Danio rerio: one gene and its partner. The protein of the gene in region 2 purifies or fractionates together with the protein of the main gene of each other region. This does not show direct contact. Links are inferred from orthologs where the notes say so. Each region holds a gene or a part of one and is shown on either strand. Other genes may lie near its edges.

Region 1 (3,518 bases), on a different chromosome or scaffold from region 2:
TTACATGCTGCATTAAAAGATCACACTTTTAGGGTAATGACTTTATAAAACAGGGGTGGCCAAACTCGTCTAATAAGCTTGTTTTATCCTGCCCCTTTTCGCTCAGCCGCATGACAGAATATCACAAGTAAATTAAACAGGGGGCTAATAATTCAGGGCGGCTAATAATTCTGACTTCACAGGGTTCAACGCTAAGGACATTTTCTACTGGCCCGACTGGACCAGCAGTTCAGATTTTTACTGGCCCTGCCAAAATTTTCACTGGCCCCACCAAAATAAATAAATAAAAAATAGCTATTTTTTTAGCCACATATTTTAAATAATGTGTCAAAAATAATGTCGTTGAATCTAGAATTTAAATATTTTTAAAATGTTAAAATATTTAGCAGTAAAATACAGCAGTATGGAAAATGTGCAGGTATTTTATTGCTAAACAAAAAGTGGCGGACTTAAAAGTGATGGAAAATTATGCAAAACATCACTTCATTTTTTTCGATGTGTTGTACCCATGTAAATATCTTTTTCCACAACGTTGGAAACAGACGTTTTCTTTTAGCCGCATAATTTGATGTTGTCGTCTCTTCACTGTTCTGGTTTTTACCAGGTTGTGAAAAAATTAACGTGCTAACAACAACCAATCAGATAAAAGGAACCAAAAAGCAATATGGGGTTCACGACTTTACAGAAAACGTAGCATTCTGAGACTTAAAAGCACAAATTGTTTCTCAGTTCTAAGACTGTATTTGCATACAATTGACAGTAGCAGGCAAATAAAAATTTGATGACAAGGCAGCACTGGCCTGATCGGGCCAGTAACGATTCTCTTTACTGTCCCGAACATCTCTCATGCTGGCCCCGGGCCATCGGGCAGTCCTTATTGTTGAGCCCTGCTTCAACTTTGTATGTCTATAGGTGGGCCCACACAGTTTGCGCTACGCCACTGTTTTTTGTTGGACTTCCCACAAGTTTCAATGGAAATAAAACATTTATTCTATTCTACTGTATTCCATTTCAGAAATCGAACACTGCAGTCGAGTACGTCGCTGCCCACCTGTCAAAGATTAACGGTCTGGACTGGCACCCTGATAATGAGTACATCCTGGCTACTTCAAGTCAGGACAACTCTGTTCGGGTGAGTATAATCATAATTATTGATCATATTCTTAAATAGTTTTAGCTGCAGTTTTGCTGATTCTGTTTTTATACTGATTTATCTCAAAAGTTCTGGGATTACAGACAACCCCGGAAGTACCTTGATATCTTATCCTGTCAGGTGCCTGTGTGGAAGGCCAGATACACGGTAAAGTTTAAATATGCAGTTTAAATATATATTTTTCTTGATATTTTCATTTTAAATACTTTGTTTGTTTCTGTTGTGATGATCTCTATCAGGCAAATGTTTAAAATGATTACGTATTTTTGTTTTAGTCTCAAAAATACAATAAAAACAATATGGAAAAATGGGTGGCACATTGGCTCAGTAGTTAGCAGTCGCCTTACAGCAAAAAGGTCGCTGGTTCGAGTCCTGGCTAGGCCAGTTGGCTTTTCTGTGTGGAGTTTGCATGTTCTCCCCATGTTGGTGTGGGTGCTCTAGTTTCCCCCACAGTCCAAACACGCTCTATAGGTGAATTGAATAAGCTAAATTGACTAGTGTATGAGTGTGTATGGGTGTTTTCCAGTACTGGGTTGCAGCTGGAAGGGCATCCGCTGTGTAGCTTATCCAGTCCTTCCAGCCGCAACCTAGTACTAGGAAACACTTATACACACTCACATTCACACACACACACTATGGTCAAATTAGTTAATCCAATTCACCTTTACCACATATCTTTTGAAATGTGGGGAACACCCGGAGGAAACCAGGGAGAACATGCAAACTCAACACAGAAATGCCAACTGGCCTGGCTGCCACTGGAACAAGCAACCTTCTTGCTGTGAGGTGACAGTGCTAACCACTAAATCACCGTGCTGCTCATTAGTGAATTTTTAAAGTTTATATTTTTATTTGTATTTACGCTGTTAATATAAGAGATGGAAAAATGAAAATTAGTAATTCAAATAATGGAGAATCTGCATGTTGTAAAGTACTCACTGCATCCTCTCCTTTTCTTCTGTCTAGCCTTTCTCAAATGGGCTGGTTACAGTGATGGTTCCTCAGCTTCGGCGTGAGAACAGCCTCCTCCTGTGGAGCACACTGGAGCTGAACAGCCCTGTTCATGCGTTTGTGGGCCATGACGATGTTGTGTATGAGTTTCAGTGGAGGCCGCAGAAAGAAGGTGAGCAGAGCTGGCAGTCGAAGGAAATTAAGGAATGTTATTTACCACAAAATCCCCAGATTGATTTTGTGTTTGAATTGACAATTATTAGTCTGAACCCTTGTCATCAAAACCAAAACTGCCTCTTCTCTCCTCCCACCACATCACATGACAACCTCAAAACGTTATGCATTTATGAAATGCGCTTTACACAAGTGAGTGGGCTTGACAAACCACCAGTAGAAACACTTTTCTCTCTCTAAAAAAACACTAAAAAAAATAAAGAAACTATGAACAACTGATCTGTAAAGTGTGAGTTAATATATTAGTTAAGTGTTAGTTATCAGTTTATGTATGTTATTGGGACGTTATTCTAAAGATGCAACTATTCCTCATTTACTTACAGTTAATAAATAAAGAATAGTTGCAACTTTAGAATAACGCCCTATAACATATATACACTAATAACTGATACTGAACAAGTCTTTAGTAAGTAATTTACTAACAGCTTGTTTATGATCTATTACTTATTAATTAGGTATAGTTATAACATTAAAAAACTGTTACAAAGTCATTTAAAGCTTGTTAACTAACAGCTTGTAAGTTATATATTGGCTATTTATAAGGCACAGTTATAAATAATTAACAAACTATTGACTTATATAACAAGTCATTTATAACTCACTAACTAACAGTTTATTAATGGACTATTAACTAGTTATAACGAAATAGTTATACTAAATTGTTACCGTGAATTTTTGACTAAATTGACTACATCACATCTGTGTGTGAATGTGTATGGGTGTTTCCCAGTACTGGGTTGCAGCTGGAATGGTATCCACTGCGTAAAACATCTGCTGGAATAGTTGGTGGTTCATTCCACTGTGGCAACTCCTAATAAGTAGTGGACTGAGCCGAAGGAAAATTAATAAACCAATATTTTGTGTCTGTGACCATAGAACTGGAGAGTTTTTAATAAATCATGCATACCAACTTTAACTATAATTTTTTTTCTGCTGTCCGTCTTTTGTGCATAAGCTGTATCTGCCTCAAAACAATGATCAATAATTGATGTCCATGTGCTATAATCAATCCTTAATAAAGTTTAGCAATTACTCAATAGTCAATTAATTGCTTTCATCTATAATGGAGATAATTCTGGCAATAAATGCTTCATTTTCACTTTCATAGCAAAAATATAATTGTATTTGTGCACTGTTCATATATATCTTAGGGTCCAAAGACTGCCAGCTGGTCACGTTG
Region 2 (3,518 bases):
ATTTACTGCCAGCAAGAGGTTTTTTGAATTAAATCACTTTCATACATTGAAAGTGATTGCACAACTTTTCTGCTTTTAAAATTTTGTGATACAGTAGTTCACCCAAAACTTTGAGTTTTTTCAGCATTTGATTGCAAAAGAAGATATTTTGAAGAAAGCTGAAAACTCTTAACTTGTATAGTAGGAAAAACAAACACTATAGAAGTCTCTAGTAACAGGACCAAACTTCTTCAAAATATCTTCTTCAATGGAGAGAGAATAAGGAATAATAAAGGAAAAGGCGTCTGAAAATGTTTTGATCCTGTCCTCTTTTGACTACTTACAGAGGTAGTCTGCATTTGATTGCTTTTGTTGTGTAAAATTTAATTTTATTGAATTCATTTAACCCTCTGGGGTCTGAGGGTGTTTTGGGGCTCTGGAGAAGTTTTGACATGCACTGACATCTGTGTTGTTTTCAGTATCTTAAAAACATATAAATGGCTAAAGTGTGATAACACTGTAAACAGCACAAGTTGGGCTACAATAATACCGAAGCAGCATGTTTGTATGTGTTTGTGTTTTTGAGAAAGAAACGTTTATGCGTGGTTAGTGAAAAACTAAAATTTTGAAGTCACTGAAACAAGGCCACGAAACACACAGAGAACATTTGTGCACATTTCTCATCTCTTTGTGTTTTGTATTTGTGGAGTTTTAGTGCATTTTACCGACGCGTTTCTAAAAGCAGATCACGGAGAGAGAAAAGACAGAATGCGTACACTGTTTGTTTTCCTTATTTTGCAAAAGCAAAGACGTTTGTTGTTGTTGTGAGTGTACACAACAAAAAGTAGACACATAACAGATTCAATTGATGTATTGATCTTATCTGTACGATCAAAACTGAAAGTGTTATTTAAGTTCATTTCAGCAGTTTGACGCCACCACAGGTCAAAACGCACATACGCGGTCTTCGACCCCAGAGGGTTAAATGGTCACAAAAGAGTACCTACTTTCTATGACCTAAGATGAAACACCGAAATTAAAAAGGTATACAAATATATGAAAAACTTTTTATTTTAAATGATAAATGCAGACATATTCAAAGAAACCACAAAGTCAGTTAATGTGTGTGTGTGTGTTGATCAGGGGTGCCCAAACTTTTCTTATGAAGGGCCAAAAACCAAACTTGATTAAGGCCAGTGGGCTGAAGGTAAACATTCAGCAGTTGCCATAGGTAATTTCCTTATTTATTTAATAATATTTAAAAATAGCTAGAAAACATTGCTTTATATTAACTAATGCAGCATATTTTTATTGCATTAAATTTTTAATAAACTTATTACAGTAAAAACTATTACATTTATAACAGAATGGAGTTACGCTTGATTTGCTTACTGATGTCGTCTGCATAATCCATCGAGTGACGTTATTTACATTTTTTAAAATCTGACTTATTTACAACATTTAAGTGAAACGTTTACAATCCGCTTGTTAAGTGTGACGTCACGCGAAGCGGCTTCCGGGTCCAAGCGCTTTATTCAACTGAATGGGGAGACTCATGAAATGGTAATAATAAATGTTTACAAAGTGATTTAATGCTTTCGAAAATCACGATTACAGTATATATGTCCATGCCTAATATCCAATGGCCAGAAAGTAATAATTTTTTTTATATATTGTTAAATTTTTGGTATTTGTGATGCAGCAAGCCCAGAGATTGTTGTGTACACTATGATTTTATATAAAATTAACTTTTAATGTGTGATAGGAATAAAACGTGATCATAAACGAATGATTTCTCCACTCAGATGAATGGCGGCTTGGACCCGGAAACAGTATACATACGTCACCAACACGTCATCACTTAACAAGCGGATACATTCATCAAACAATAAAACAAACAAAAAAAGGTTTCGTCAAATTAAAAATGATGATCTCTTTTAAAGGCATTCACCCAAATCCTTTACATCCTTCTCACTCTCTTGGGATGGCATGGTGGGCCAAATAAAAGGTTACAATAGGCCAACTTTGGCCCACAGGCCCTACTTTGGGCATCTCTGGTTTAGATCATGGTACGTGCAATCTGTTTTCATCTGTCTTTTTTCTTTCTGTTTTTCTTCTGCAGTCCTAAAGAGGGCGCCAGTGTTGACCAAGACATGGAGTGCATCAAGTTCTTCTCTTTCTCTCTGATTGACGGATATGTGTCTTTAGTGATGGACACAGACGCACAGAGACAGTAAGACCTTCACATAGACACAGCCAGGTTGTAAAAACAAGATTTACCACTCAAAGACCCGCCCACTCATATTTCTTGACTGGACAAGAGAAACCAATTGGTCATAAAAAATAATTTGACTAAAAAACATTATTATATGTGTATGGATATATTAAGATTTAATACTTGTATTTGAAAAAGTGTCTTCTGGAGCAATTTTAGAATATGCATGACTGACTAAATTGAAAGTTCTTGTATTGGCTTTTATTAGTTTTGTTGTCATTTGTACTTTTGTAATTTTTTCTATAGTGGATGTTAAAGAAAATCTTCTGTTGTGTAAAATATTTATTAAACATTTATTAACACTGTTGCCAAGAATATAGCCAATGCTGCTGATAAGTAGTTAAAACGCACACACGTACACACACACACACACACACACACACAAAATCAAACAAATGAATGGACAAAAAACAGTATGATCCTCACAGAGCCACCAACAGATTATCAAAGCATTATATGTTTCACTATTCAGTCTGAGAAATATATAATTGTGTGTAGGCATGGCTCGGTTGAAGATTCTGACAGTATGATAACCTTGGATAAAAATATAATGGTTTCACGGTTTGACGGTATTGTGAATACTGCTCTAAAACATATTCTTTTTAAATGTCTGGGTTAAAATTATAAACTTTTTCCCCTTTTGAACACAATATATATATATATTTTTTTTTTGAGAAACACTTAAAATACTTTGGGGCAGTAAACATGTCAGGCTGAATAATGAAAATGAATCATTGACTTCTGCTGTTCTTATTTGTTTCAAAAACACAGCTTTCTTTACACTTTAAAATGGCATCTTTGGATATCTTTTCTGCTGGAGATGTTGTCCTAAAAAATGTAGATAAAAAATCTTACACATACCTTAGAAAAGTTATTAAAAAATTTTTTTGGCGGTTTTAAAAACTTGACTTTTCTTATCCACGGTATACCTTAAAAATGGTTTTTGTCCCATGCCTAATTGTGTGTGTCTGTGTGTCAGATTCCCAGCTGATCTTCTGTTCACCAGCTCCTCTGGTGAGCTCTGGAGAATGGTGAGAATAGGAGGGCAGCCTCTTGGATTCGGTGAGATACATTGTTTTTTTCTTTTTATTTATTTATTCATTTATTTCTGTTCTACATTCAAAGGCAACATATGTCATCATTTAAAAATAGTTTCACTTAAAGGGATAGCTTACCCAAAAATGAAATTGTCGTTTACTTTACACTCACTCTGGTGGTTGTACATTTTCATGATTTTGTCTGCTTTTGTCAAACACAAAACAAG

The links. The genes of interacting proteins can lie anywhere in the genome.
Region 1: the proteins of castor1 (region 2) and wdr59 purify together in Homo sapiens (affinity purification with mass spectrometry; 3 studies listed by BioGRID and IntAct, counting the BioPlex papers as one, with this or other methods). This does not show direct contact. The link is inferred for Danio rerio from reciprocal best matches to the Homo sapiens genes CASTOR1 and WDR59.

Annotation. Positions count from the first base shown.
Region 1 is NC_133193.1:7,039,731-7,043,248, forward strand, and holds part of wdr59 (GATOR2 complex protein WDR59), read left to right. Parts: intron 1-1,015; coding exon 1,016-1,132; intron 1,133-1,222; coding exon 1,223-1,300; intron 1,301-2,119; coding exon 2,120-2,276; intron 2,277-3,489; coding exon 3,490-3,518. UniProt on the Homo sapiens protein: As a component of the GATOR2 complex, functions as an activator of the amino acid-sensing branch of the mTORC1 signaling pathway. The GATOR2 complex indirectly activates mTORC1 through the inhibition of the GATOR1 subcomplex.
Region 2 is NC_133180.1:12,719,066-12,722,583, reverse strand, and holds part of castor1 (cytosolic arginine sensor for mTORC1 subunit 1), read left to right. Parts: intron 1-2,101; coding exon 2,102-2,212; intron 2,213-3,233; coding exon 3,234-3,316; intron 3,317-3,518. UniProt on the Homo sapiens protein: Functions as an intracellular arginine sensor within the amino acid-sensing branch of the TORC1 signaling pathway. As a homodimer or a heterodimer with CASTOR2, binds and inhibits the GATOR subcomplex GATOR2 and thereby mTORC1.